Notamacropus eugenii: one gene and its partner. The protein of the gene in region 1 purifies or fractionates together with the protein of each later gene. This does not show direct contact. Links are inferred from orthologs where the notes say so. Each region holds a gene or a part of one and is shown in the gene's direction. Other genes may lie near its edges.

The links. Proteins that work in one complex are often made in the same cells at the same time.
Region 2: the proteins of ANAPC4 (region 1) and CCNB1 purify together in Homo sapiens (affinity purification with western blotting; 3 studies listed by BioGRID). This does not show direct contact. The link is inferred for Notamacropus eugenii from reciprocal best matches to the Homo sapiens genes ANAPC4 and CCNB1.

Annotation. Positions count from the first base shown.
Region 1 is NC_092877.1:78,210,350-78,217,562, forward strand, and holds the start of ANAPC4 (anaphase-promoting complex subunit 4), read left to right. Parts: upstream 1-4,165; 5' UTR 4,166-4,424; coding exon 4,425-4,536; intron 4,537-4,642; coding exon 4,643-4,764; intron 4,765-7,213. UniProt on the Homo sapiens protein: Component of the anaphase promoting complex/cyclosome (APC/C), a cell cycle-regulated E3 ubiquitin ligase that controls progression through mitosis and the G1 phase of the cell cycle.
Region 2 is NC_092875.1:474,473,819-474,481,079, reverse strand, and holds the start of CCNB1 (G2/mitotic-specific cyclin-B1), read left to right. Parts: upstream 1-4,223; 5' UTR 4,224-4,361; coding exon 4,362-4,520; intron 4,521-5,750; exon of another isoform or gene 5,751-6,402; coding exon of another isoform or gene 6,403-6,423; intron 6,424-6,860; coding exon 6,861-7,037; intron 7,038-7,121; coding exon 7,122-7,235; intron 7,236-7,261. UniProt on the Homo sapiens protein: Essential for the control of the cell cycle at the G2/M (mitosis) transition.

The DNA of each region.
Region 1 (7,213 bases):
AGAAGCAAAGTTGCCCAAGTTCACCCAGAGAGTACGGCGGCAGATCCAGTGTTCAAACCTAGATCTTCTGACTTTCAATCTAGAGCCAGTCTACTACGTAATGGAAGTCACATGACTTCCTTCAAACATGCTTAGTCTAAGCAGGACACTGCTTGGATACTGGTGGAACACACAGGCCATCTTGCTACGACTGACCCTGCTGCTCTTCTGGTCATCCCATAGCATCTTTTACACCCCTTCTCCCATGTAATTCCTAGTTGCATTCTACTCACACCCACCATATGTTTCTCCATTGCTCTTTGGGTGACCTCTGTCTTTAATTCTTCAGAGGCTGCATCATTTCCAGTCATATAGCCTAAGCAGAAGAGTTATGGTGTTGAAAAACTGGGTCCTGGTTTCAGGGAAAAGACTCCATTCTGCCAATTTTGTTCTGTCTGGAGGTTTTCTTGTGTTGCCCTTTGGGATTCTGCACCTCTTTCAGACTGCATTAAGGGTCAGTAGAGGGAAGTGAATACACATTTATACAGATCACACCTATGATATGTCAGGCACAGTGCCAAACACTTCTACAAACATTTTATTTGATCCTTACAATAACCCTTCCTGGTGTGATCAGTCACACATCATGTTTGTGTGACCCTGGGCAAATCACTCAGTCTCTTAATGCCCCAGGCAATTCTCTAGGATGAAAATGTCCTAAAAGAGTTAGTTGCAGCTCTTCATTGGTAGATGGAATTTCCTCACTGGAGTTCCTTACGCTAATGAAATCACAATTCAAGACCAAAGGCAGATAGATTGTTCAATGGTTTTCAGTCCTGTCCGACTCTTTTTGACCCCATTTGGGGTTTTCTTGGCAAAGATAGTGGAGTGGTTTGCCATTTCTTTCTTTAGCTCATTTTACAGATGAGGAAACTAAAGCAAACAAGGTTAAGTGATTTGCCCAGGGTCACACAGCTAGTGTCTGAGGCTAGATTTGAACTCAGGAAGGTGAGTCTTAGCCCAGGCCCAGCCCTCTATCCACTGCACCATCTAGCTACCCCTGTCTGTCTAGATAGATAGATAGACACATCAAATAAAGCTACCTAGGTTTTTACAAATGTCATTGTGAGGGCTTCTCTTTTATATCCAGGGAGCCTGACTCCATTTGATTGTTATGGGAGAAATATCTCCTCTGAGTTCATGGGGTAAGTTACTGCTGCTGAAATAAATCTACCATAACGCAGGAATTATAAAGGTAAAAACCTTGTTTTATTACATTTAAGCACGGGTTCAGGACTTAAAAAAAATAACCCCGAACAAAGATTAGGACTCTAACAAGGCTTTTTATAGACAAAGTTACATAAGAGAGACAGAGAAATAATTCTTTTACATATAGCAATCTCATACATCCTCTTAAGCCATAAAAATTTTAAAAAATATATACATATTCATAATCCTATGCCTCATGCAAGGTCATAAAACTTAAATTCAGTTAAGCAGAATTATATTCTCCTACATCGCCTAAGGAGACAAACCTAGTTAAACGGACTCTATAAGTAAATTAAGTCAGATTACAAATTAAACCACATTTAAAGGGTTCGAAATGGGCTGATTGAGAGGGGAGATTTACATGCCTATAGTCAAGTGAATTCTCCCTCAAATGAGTTAAGTCAAATTACTTCCAGAAGCCATGACTCCCTTTTTCTGCTTCTCTGAGGAATGTTTCAAGCTTTAAGTAAAATTTCACATATTATGAGATAGGCTTCAGCCTGCTCAATAAACTAACTAGGAGAAACAGTCCTGACCCCATTCTCCCCCCACCCCAAATAGTAATAAAAGGAAATAAAAAATTTAAAAATTCTCTCCTATCTCAGTGCTCCAGCAGTTTAACCCTTTGACTACCAAAACGAATACTAAGAATAAAACTGACATTAAAGAGGTAACTTTTATTCACAATTCTTGTTGATGACCTGAACTATTTAAAATTCTCAAAAATTTTTCTCCAGTCTAACAACTCCAGCGTTGTCATGTAAATAGTCCTAGAAGCCTCACAACTCCTCTTGATTGTTTAATTTGGGGGAAGCAGATTGATTTTCAGATAACAAAACTTTCTGCTTCTCTCCTGCAAGAAACCTTACTCACCATGGCAATTCTTCCCCAATGTGCTTTGTTTATCACCTCAAAAATAGTAAACTGAGCTTCTGGCCCCAAGTTCCTGCTTTCCCTTTTGAAAGAAATTCAAGTCTGCCTTGGGAGTAGGAGGAGAAGAGGCTAGAGATTTTTATTCTGTCTCACTTCAAGACAAAGGGCATTCTCATGCATGGGACATATTAAACATTAATTTATACATATTATACATACATTAAACTTATTGTTGATGTGCTTAGTCCAATTAAGGCTTTTGAAAGTCCACATTACTTTGGTAGAAGGAACATTTTCTTGACTAGGGGGTTCTTAAACTGAGGTCTTTGATAGACTTCCCCCACCAAGATATCCACCAGGGATAGATTTGAGAGAGTCCTTGAAATTGGATGGGGGAAAATTACATCTTTATGTAATTTTATACTCTCCCTTATACTTTTTGTATTTAATGCATTTAAAAACCTTATTCTATAAGGGATCCATAGATTTTTACCAAACTACCAAATGCTTTCATGACACAAAAAAGGTTAAGAACCTCTCCACTAGAATATGCCTAATCACCCTACTCACCAGTAGTACTTAAAAGCAAGCTACTTTGGCAGTTGTTTCACAGATAACACCCAGGAGGCACTGGAGTTTTTGGATTCCAGCTTCTTAACAGGTTCACTCTTGATCTGGTCAGACAGGCAGGCAGCTTTGGAGGGACTAATAATCAGCTTTATTTTCCTCTAGGCTTCTTAGAGGGGCTGTGGGACAACCAGCTCCTACAGCATTCCCTCCTTCTCGGAGGGGCTGGCAAGAAGCAGGGGTGGGGCAACTACTTCTCAATGGGGTCAATCCAGACAGGCACACTTGTGCACTTCCCTAATTCCCCTCAGTCCTCGGTGAGGGGCCCCTTGAGGCACACACAGAATCCCCTATGGGTTCCCTGGGGTTTTCCCCCATGGACATGAAATCCCCCCCCCCCACCAGTGCCCACCTGCTTTATAGGGCAATCAGACAAAGAAGGCATCATGCCAACATGAAGTTCACAAGTTAACTTTAGCAACATTGTCATTCAGCACAATCGTAGTAAATATCAATTCTGTCACTCCCCTATCTCACGGTGCAGCCTCAGTATGATTCTAAGAACTACAATCTAGAATTCTTGAGACTTTTAGCAGTTACTATGTAACACTTGGAAACTGGACATTCCCATGGCCATAGACCCTGAGAAACTAAACTAAAAAAGATAACAAAATCCTCCTTACATACCGTAGTTACATGGAATTTCCAAAAGGAATATCCTATTAACTCATATACTCTGTTATTTTGGAAAAGGCACATCTTTCAGCAGATTTATAGGCACCTAACAGTTCTCAACACTTTGTGAGTTTGACATGCGATGACATTCAACGTTGAAGATGGTGAATGATGGCATAATTCACTCATTCAATAAGCATTTATTAAATATCTTCCGTATGCCAGGCATCGTGCTAAGCACCCGGGATACAGAAAGAGACAAAAGAAAGTTTCAGCCCTTAAGTAGCTTACAAACTCAGGTGGGAGACAACATGCAAACACACACACCTATATATATACGTGCATATACACACATATGTATATGTGCCCACACACACACAGAGTAAACTATGTTCAGGAGCACCTGGAAGGTACCGAAATCAAGAGGGGCTGGGGAAGCCTTCCTGGGGGATTTTAGTCGGGAGGAGTGGAGAAGACAGAGCATTCCAGGTCCAAGCACGGGGCTTTAGGAAAACCAAGCCTTCGTTTTTAGGAGAGATGGGGCGAAATTTTATAAAATATGAGGTTGCCTGCCTTATTTAGAATAGTGGTCTGCAGCCTGCCCTTTGCACAGCACATGGTCCGGGCTGTTCCAGTTTTTGAAAAAGCAGCTATTAAAGTATAAAAGCTTCCCTACAGCTTGAACCCCAGCGAGAAGGAATCCCAAGGGGCTCGCTGCGTGGCCGGAGGGTGCAAATAATCAAACAGCAGCAATGATTTCTACAACAAGCTCTTCCCCCGGAGCTCACGAACTTCAAAGAAAAAATGTTTTATTAATTATTTCACCGTAATTGGCTTCCTTTGGAAACTGACGAGATTTCACTCCTTTTATCTTAGGCGCTGCTCGTCATCGCTGCCATGACTGTAAGGACGGGTCCTCCGCACACGAGCGGTGACGTTTCCTCGGCTGTTGGACTGGAAGCTCCTCGAGGGTAAGGGGTGAAACTGACTTAAAGAGGGCTCTACACAGGCCGGGAGAGTGGCCACTTGGAGCCGCTGCGTCACCCACATCGCGCACGCGCATGGCGCTCCGGCCGGAAGTTCCAACCCCGGAAGTGCCTCTCGAGGCCGGCTCCGCTCCGGAACACGGGATCCGCGGCCGTGGTTGGCGCCACCACGGAGCGAACCTGCCCGGTAATGCGGCTGCGCGGGAGGCGAGGGGGCGGGGCCGGGAGGCGGCTGCCTCGGGAGTCTGGCGGACCCCGCGGTCCAGTTTGAAGAGGGAGGTTTGTCATTGCAGGACCGACTCCCGCGATGCCGGCCTTCAGACAGGTGGGAGAGAAGCAGCTGCCCCAGGAGATCATTTTCATGGCCTGGTCTCCCAAGAGGGACCTCATTGCCTTAGCCAACAAAGTGGGGGAGGTAAGTGAAAGACGGGGGATGCTCTCCCCCGCAACAGCGCCCCAGCCTCCCCGGGCCTCAGTTTCCCCTCCAGCTCCAGGTCTATGATGATACCCCAGAGCCGCTCTCCGGGGAAGGGACCTTTCCAGTCTCTGGGAGAAGCACAATGAACTCAAACACTTCTCCTCACAATCCACTGAAGAAGCTTCTGAAAAACATTGCAAAAATAAACATTGACATAGAGGTCAAAAGTTATCTTTCATTAGAAAGCAAGTTTACTTTAATATTTTTCTGTTTAAGGATTTTTTCATATAGAAAGCTAACACAGTCGCGTAGTAAGACGGAGAAACAATAGGTACCGAAATGGAAGCATGTGCGAGGGGTGCCAACATGGGCCTGATGATCGTGTCATTTTTGGTTTCCCATCGAAGTTGAAATATTTTCCAAAAAATTCAATAATATATAAAAAGTTGCGCATTACACTTTTACCAGTTGTCTGCCCTTTAAAATATCTATACGAAAAGACTAAGGTAGGGCCAAAAAAACCTAAAACCCTTTTACAATGCAAGACATGAGGTTAAAAGGTTGTGTTATCTGCCTTGGAGATGAGGAAATAGGTTCAGTCAGCAGGCATCTATGAAGTGCTTCAAACACTGCGCTAAGTACTGGGGATCCAGAGAAAAGTAAAAAAAAGTGAAGTCTCTGCTTTGCCTCAGACAAGTCAAGTGATTTACCCGGTGTAATGTAGCAAGTACTTGGCAACATTGTAATTCGTTCCCAGGTGCAAAATGTTCTGGTTTTTTTTTGGGGAGGATGATGCTGGAACAGGAAAGAGAGTTAGAGAAGGTTTTTCCAACTGGGCCTTAGTGACTTTTTAGGAGTTCAGTTGGTAAAGAAAGATGCAAGGGAAGAGCATTCCAGAATGAAGAGAGTGAGTGAGAAAGCAGGGGATATGTATGGAAAAAATGGAGTAAGTCATTTTGTTGGCCTGTAAAATGTCTCATTGAATTTGTGGTAAAAAAAAAAAAATGGTTGGGTTTGTTTCCCAGTTCCCACGAACACCTACTCCCTATGTAGTCTTCAGCAAGTCTTTTCACTTTTAGGTATCTGTTCAGTCTCCCATCTTCATGCCTTTGCACATGCCAGACCTGGGATACACTTTCTTATCACTTCTGCCTCTTGGAATTTCTGCTTGTTTTAAAATTCAGTTCAAGAGCTTCCTCTACATGAAGCTTTTTATTATCCTCCTAGATGCTAGTGTCACCTTGTACTCATTCCCTATGTGTTATGTTTATACTTATATGTATACATTTAGTCTTCCTCATTTAAATGTAAGCTCTTTGACAGCTGGGACTAAAGTTCCACTTTTGTTTTTATATCTTCAGTGCGTAGCTCAGTGTCTCATGCGCACAATGCTTAATAAATGCTCTTAGCTTTAAATCTTAGGAGTCTATGAATGTGTGAAGGGGAGTAGTGCGACATGAGTCTGGAAGGGGATGCTACTTGTAGTGAGAACTACATTATGGAGGATCTTGGGCTTTTTTTGACCTTTGATTTCATCTGTGTAAGGAATTTGAGAAAATTTCTTCCACCAGTACTGATGGGCAATTCTGAGTTGCTGAGGGGTTAATTAATTTCATGGTTATGCAGCTCTTATGTGTCAGAGATGATAATTGCACCTGAATCTTTTTGACTCAGTAGGGCAGCTTTGGAGAGTTTTAAATAGGGTGATGGACAGAGTGAAAGGAGGAGACAAATGCTAGAGGTATTGAAGAACACTTCAATATTTATATCATATACATGTAAGCAACTTGAGCATAGACATGTTTATTCTTTGTATTTGTACCCCTATCCCCTAGCATAGTGCCTAGTACGTAGTAATAAATACTTACTGATTTTTTAAGCAAACTGGATTTCTAGAGACATTTCAAATTCATCACATCCAAAACTCACTATCCTTTTCCCCAAACCCATCCCTCTTCCTGATGTCTTAGTTTTTGTCAAAGACATCATCATTCTTTCAGTCTTCCAGGTTTACAGCCTTGACCTTTCATAACCTTACCCCCACCTATTTTTCCACCCACATGGTACATTACTTCTGGGATCTAGCCAGACTGGCCTTCCTCTCTGTTCTTTACACGTGATACTCCATATCCAATCTCCATACCTTTGCACTAGCTGTCCGCAATGACTGCGATGCACTTACTCCTCATTTCTACCTCACAGAATTCTTTTCTTCAAAATGCAGTTTAAATACCACTTTCAGCATGAAGCTTTTTTTAATCCACTCAACAGCTAATGCCATTTCTCTCAAACTACCTTGTAGTTAATTACTTTTTTTATTTATTCTCTTTATATTTATTCTTTTTTATACTTAAATATATCCATGTTGTCAGATTATAAATGCTATAGGAGTAGGGATTATTTCATTTATTGTGTTTGTGTCCCTAGTACCATGCCTGGTCTATAG
Region 2 (7,261 bases), on another chromosome or scaffold:
GCCCATTGACCAATCATATGTATCCTAGACTTAGACATATATATATATATACATATATATAAAATCGGTTGGGGTTAGGGATTCTCACCTGATTCTAACCAATTCCATCAGATTATCTATCTATCTATCTATGCTCCCTTACATTTATCTTGTCTAACAAGACAATAAGAGCAACTTGGTATTCTTTAGTCAGTCCTGACTGTTAGTTGACTTGGGGATGTTTCAAACCTAATACCACACCTCTCTCTTGGGCTATTTCCCTGATGAATTCTTCGTAAAATATCTTCGAAGTAGATGCCAAAAGTGCATGTTCCTTTAAGAACTAACCACTTCTTACCCACTCCCTAATCCCTCCCTGAATCACTATTTGCATATTTGGCACAAGTTATACTGTAGAACATCCTATATAAACTTTCCCTGTACCCCTCTAAGGTTGCAGGTTCCCTAAGAACTTTTGCCCACTGAAAAGCATCAAAAATCTTAACCTTGAGCTCAACAATACTTGAGTTCACAAATTCTTCTCCAGATGGCCTGTGCAAGGAGCTCTAGCCTTGGAGTTCCTGTACCACCCCTCATCAGCATCTTCAGCACCTGGCACATATTAGGCACTTAATAAAAGCTTATTGTTTGAGTACAGACTGTTGTTTGGGAACAGAGATGATAAAACCACCTCTTAATCCTGCTTGCTTTCTCTGCCAAAAAGACTGATCTTTGAACTGGAAAATTAAACAATAATGGCTAAAAGGAAGTCGAAATCAAGATAAATAAGCACCCACCTGCCTTTGATGAGTTCAAGTCATGGGGTCCAAATTAACTGCATCAGAGGGTGTTGAAAGAACTAGTCGATGTGATTTCTGAGCTATTGTCAGTGTGAGTTTTGAAACTGTGAAGAACTGGAGAGTAACTGCTGGACCAGAAAAGAGCAGAAGTTGTCCTGAAGTTCAAAATAGGGGGAAATGAATGAAACTTGCAAACAATAGACAAGATTACAATTCCCAGCAAGATTGTAGAACGTATTATTAAAGGGACAGTTGGTGAATACCTAGAGAAGAAAATGATCAGGGCACTGCTGGGAGAGCGCTCAATTGGTCAAACCCTCCTGGAAAGCAATTTGTGCCTATTTCCAAGAGTCATGACCTTTGACCTGGCCAAGCCACAAAAGAAATCAGGGAAAGGCCTCACCTACAAAAATAGGGCAACTCTTTTTCTCACAGCAAAGAACTGGGAACAAAAGAAGTTCCATCCATTGATCAAACCAACTATGACATATTAACGGAATGGAATATTATTTCCCTGTAAAAAATGATGAAAGGGATGGTTTTAGAGACTCCTTAGGGGAAACCTGTATAAATTGATAGTGAAGTGAGTAAAGCCAGAAGTGTGTAAAGTAGCAACAACTACGTAGAGAAAACTTTGAAAGGCTTCCGAATGCTGATCAATGCAATGAGGACGGATGATGAAGCCAGCTATCTCCTGAAAAACAGGGGTGATGGCCTCAAGGTGCAGAACTATACATGTGCTTTGAAGTACAACAAATGTGCTGATATTTGTTGCTTGACTATGCTTATAACAAGTTTTGTCTTGTTTTTGTTTTAATTTGGAAAGAGGATTTGTTTGAGAAAGGGGAGTGACCTGTAGAATTACTTCCTCCTCCCCCCAAAAAGGATCATTCAAGTATTTTCTAATGGACAGAAGGTAACAGTAGAAAGTTCAGAAGGAAACATACAAACAGGATAACTTTGAATTTATTATGAACTTTTTTTAAAAAGCAAGATCTATAAAATAGATTCATGTTTTCACATATAATTTTTTTCTCTTCCTTTTCTATTCAAATAGCCTCTTTTTTAAAAGTATTGGGTGTGTAACACACCACCCTGGGCTCACTCCTCCAGCCCATACCATACTGGCACTGTCAGATTGGGTCTCCAGAGGTGTGCCTACTAGGATTGCAGGATTTGAAGGCTAATTGTGTGGGTGGCTACCCTAACATAAGCTTCTGAGCCCCAACAGGTGTGCTTTCCCTTTCCCTCAGTTCTTTAGCAAATAAATTTTGCTCAAATACCTTAAAAAGGACAGTAGTTAAGAAGTACATTCCCCAGCACCAGGGGTACAGTCTCCCACAAATAAGCCCAGCCTCCAAAATTAGGAGAAGATTGGGCATAAATTTGAAATACAATAATAGCAAAGGACATGTATAAGGAATATGCATGGCCAAGGCAATTAATAGCACTGGATTTGCTAGACTGATATCCTTCTTCTGAAGGGTCCTCATGAAATTCGATGTGGAACATGATGTCAGTAACGAGAGTTTCTCTGCTACTCTCCTGAGATGGTTCCTCATAGGGATTAGCATCTACGGTAAACAGGTGGCTTATTTTTCTAAGGTGCAGTGTCTGGACTGGCCAGGCCAATATGTTCCTGGGTAGGTCCAGCAGGTCACTTGGCAGCTGTGTGCCTGGCTCCTTGCCAGGCTTGGCTGCTGCCAGGCTGGCTACACGCTAGGCAGGCTGCTTCACCACAGGACAACAGAAGCCTGAAAGGGGAGGGGTAAATTCATGAAAACAATAATAACAAAATGGTAGAGCTGAGCCGTAACTTCAGACATCATCTGGTCCATCCCCGTCCAGATCATGAATCCCAGCTACAGCACTCAGCCATTTAGAAAGCATCTTATGTCACAGACACTGTGGGATACAAAGACTGAACAACGTCTGCTTTCAAAAAGCTTCCGCGGGAGGCAGAGCCAAGACCGTGGGCTAACAGCAAGGACTTGCTAGAGCTTTCCTCCCAAACCCAGCCAAATACCTGTAAAATATGACTCTAAACAAATTCTGGAACTGCAGAACCCACAGAATGACAGAGGGAAGCAATCTCCAGCCCATGACAGCCTGGGACCTTACTCTCATCGCACTTGGTTTAAGGAGGGAATAACATGCACACTCAACTTGGGATGAAAATCTTTCTCAAACTACAGTAAAGTAGAGGGAAGGGGATAAGAGGGGGGTGGGGATAAGAGGGGGGCGGGGTTGAGAGGTGGGGTGGGCAAATGGGAGGAGGGGGTAATTAGAAGTAAACACTTTTGGGGAGGGACAAGATCAAATGAGAGAGTAGAATAAATGGGGGGCGGGATAGGATGGAGGGAAATACAGTCTTTTACAACATGACTTTTATGGAAGTCCTTTGCATAACTACACATGTATAATCAAAATACTGAATTGCTTTCCTTCTCAGTGGGGATGGGCGGGGAGGGAAGGAGAGAAGTTGAAACTCAAAGTTTTAAAACTGAATGTTAAAAATTGTTTTTACATGCAACTGGGAAATAAGAAATACAGGTAATGAGGTATAGAAATCTATCTTGCCCTACAAGAAAATAGAGGAGATGGGGATAAGGAAAGGGAGCGGTGTGATAGAAGGGAGGACACATGGAGGGAAGAGGAAATCAGAATGCAAGGTATTATGGGGTGGGGGGAGGGGAGAAATGGGGAGAAAATTTGGAACTCAAAATCTTGAGGAAAGCTGGCGTTTCATATTCACATCTGTTGCCCTTGGCCTAGCCTGTCTGTTACCATTGTCTGTTACCTCCGGATTGCCCCACTTGCTTCCCACCCAAACCCTGCATTGTCCGATATCTCCCAATTGCTTCCAGCTGTTTCCCAGCCTGGATATGTACCCCAGTCCCATCAAGATCCTCCTTAGACCCTCCTCCCAGAGCACAAGACCACCTTTGGAAAGTTTCCTCCTCCCTTCATGAAGGCGCTGCGATTCAGTCCAGCTCAGACTCGGTCTAGCTGGGATTGTGTCTGGCCCACTTGTGAATACAAGTGTTACAAATGCTTAGGCTCCTTAGGAGTCGACCCAGTATGGTGAATCTTTAATGAACTTTGCTTTTCTTTGACTTTAAGAAGGCTTGAGTTGAACTCATTTGAGCAGGACCCAGTGTGTGGGTATTCTGGGGTCCCCAGCACCCCTCCACCTCAACAACATTATAGATCAAATCAACCTCTTACAATATTCTAACCTGTCAAAAACTACTCAGGCTCTTCCTTTCATTTTCCCCTTTGATCCTACAGTCGCTCACAAGGAGTCCATTTCCACGTTCATGAATTCTGAAATCCCACTAGTAATTGGTTGTTGTTTGCTCTGCTCTGCAGTCCCTTACCCTGCTCTTTATTTTTACATGACCTCTAATTCCTTCATCTTTCGGCTTTTCTTCCCAGGCCATCCCCCTGCCCTGGCTGTATCCCCCTCCTCCTGCACCGTTCTCTCGAGTCTTCCGTCCCCTCATCCTGTCTGTGATCCTGCCTGCCAGGCCCCGCCTTGGGTCGCCCCTGCCTCTGCTGCCTCTACCTGCACTTTTTGTGATGGATGAAGGCAGGATCGTGGCGCTGCGCTGCCGGGCACGTGACAAACATGAGGCTGGACTGAGGAGCAGAGCGCATAGGGAAGGGTCGGTCCGGCCTCGGACGCTGAGGGGACGCCAAGGTGAAGCCTGTGAGAAGACAAACATCTGGTGGTGGGAGGTGACCGGCTACTTTGATGCTTGTGGCTCAGTGGGGGGGGGGGGGGGGGGCAGGAAGGCCCCTGCAGGGTTGGGGAGGGGAGGGGGGTGACTTCACTCAATCCGGCTGACACTGCGGGGCGTCCGTCGGGGGGAGGCGGCGGGGCTCCTGCTGTTTAGGGGGGCGCGCTCTGGGCCCAGCGCTCTACATGTCATTAAAACCAATCCAATTCTGATGGCTTCGTGGCGGTGGCTGGGCAGCCCTAGGAGCCGGCCCGGCTCCGCTTCTCGGTCCGGACAGCGAGGCTAAAGCATGGAGGTGACAGGACAGCGGCCGAGAGGGAGCGGGAGCGGGGGTCTTCACCCAAGGGGCCGCTTGCGGGGTCCTCGCTGCGGGGGCAGACCACGCCGGCGGCCCCGCGCGCTGAACCCACGGGGTCCGGAGCCGCTCCGAGCGGGGGCTTGGCTTCTTCATCGGTTCTGCCCCGGTCCACTTCGCTGCCGGGCCGGGGCTCGGAAGCCGCCTGGGAGAAGCGAGCGTGCGGACAGGGAGGGCGCTGCGAAACGCGGGCGCTCTGGGGGAGCAGCCCTGGAAGTGCGTGCGTGTGCGGGGTGCGGGTGTGTGCGGGGGTGATGTAGAAAATGTGTGTGACTGTTAACCCTGGGAGCGTGTACGGATCACACACTCATACGCATGTTTTCCGTATTCTATATTACATGTGCAGTTATGTGCATGGATTCATTAAAGCCGGAGGCACACACATGTGTATGTATGAATGTACGCGTGCGTGTACATGTGCGTGCGCGTGTGTGTAGGTGTGCATGCACGTACGTGCGTGTCCCGCACCCACGCGGTCCGCTCGGCCCCGCCCAGGCAGTGACCGCGCCAAGGTCACCGCGTCTGACGGCGGGGGAGGGAGGCGGGGCGGACTTCGAGCCGGACCCTGTGACGTCATCAGCTCTTTTTTCTGATCTTAGTTCAGACAACATTTAAAACTTGTAGATGGACTATACGCAGATGTGTACAGACATATTTGACACACATATATATGGAAGATAATACATATACACACATATATACATATGTATGTATATCCTGGAAATGTGCGTAGGTGTCTGTATGTGTACATACGTTTGTCTACATATATACACTTGAGAACGTGCGTCTACATGAAACCTGAACAGACACATCTGCGCATGCGTGTCACGCACACACGCCCGCGCAGGAAGACCCCACCCTCCCGCAGTGGGCGGGGCTGGGAAAGGACTTCCGGGCGCAGAAAGACGAGCGCTCCTGCGCGCTGTTCCCCACGTTAGGCCTTAGGTCCTTCAGCGCAGGCGTAGTTTTTCTCCTTGGTGTCCTCGGGCACCTGGCATAGTGACTGGCACACACCACGTTTCATAAACTTACCGACACTCGGGCATTCGTAGGCCGGCCCGGCCTCTCCTCACCCCCTCCGCCTCCGCCCAGTTTGCGGGGCGCCCCGGGACGCCAGGCCGCGGCTCTCCAGGTGCGACAACCAATCGCCTGGGAGTTGGGGGGAGGAAGAGGGGGAGGAGAGCGCGCACGCTCAGTGTCGGGCCCTGCCACGTGAGTGACGCGGAGCGCTCCCCGGCCCTTAACCCCGCCCTCCTTTCGAACGTCCTGCCGGGATCGCCAAGGAAACGCATTCTCGGAGGAACTCGCAGCCAGCCAATAGAGGGCGAAGGAAGGCGACGAACCAGCCAATGAGCGAGGAGCTGCGCGGGGTTTAAACTTGAGGCTGGGCCGCGGCTCGCCACTGCGTGCTGGGACGAACGGCTGCTTGCTCCGCCGGCGCCGGGAGCTGGGCTGGGGCGGGGGGGGCGCTCTCTGTCCCCGTTCATTCCTTCGTGTGTAGCCGCCGCCTGCAGAGGTGCAAGCCATGGCGCTCCGTGTGACCAGGGTGAGGACCCCCCTCCCGGCTACGAAGGGGGGCTGGGGGCCCCGGAGGGTCCTCGGCGTCGGTGCAGGGGGGCAGGCGCACGAGGCTGCCGAGGGCCGGGCGACCAAGGCTGGAGGCTTGTCTGCGAGAAGGTCCGGCCCGGGAGCGGAGGGTGGGACGGACAGACAGACAGCCCCCCTTGTGTCCCCGGGAGGGCTCCCACTCACCGTGGGGCCCGGCCTCCCCCAGCCTGCTTTCCCCTTGTCTGTGTTGGGGGTGGGCGCAGGAGCACCGAAGGGAAGGGGGGGCCTGGGTTTGTTCTCCGTGACCCAGTAATGGGGGGAGGGGGTCAGGTTTGGGGCCTCTTTGGAGCCCGTGGTTTCCGGACTTGCTTCCTGCTGCCTCCTTTGCAGCGATACACTTGTGACCGTTTTGTGTTTTCGGGGTTCCCTTTGCAGAACATGAAGCTCAACGCTGAGAACAAAGTGAAGGGCGGTGTCCCCGGTGCCAAGAGGGTGCCTGTGCCCACTGCCGCCTCCAAGCCTGCGCTGAGGCCCAGGATGGCCCTGGGCGATATTGGCAACAAAGTGTGTGAGCCCCAGCAGCCCCCTCCGTCAAAAATACCCCTGAAAAAGGTAACTCCCTCACTTGGCTGCACGGGAACGGGCCTTCCTCTTCTAACTGCCAGTTCTCATTTATTTTTCTTCCCTTCTTTCCAGGAAGCCAAAGCTCCCATAGCAAAAGTAGCTGCCAAAAAAGCCCCCAAACCAGTGGAAAAGATGCCTGTGCCTGAACCTGTTAAAGAAGACAAACTGACTCCTGAGCCTATTAAGGTAATTGATTCCTAAAGATATGTATT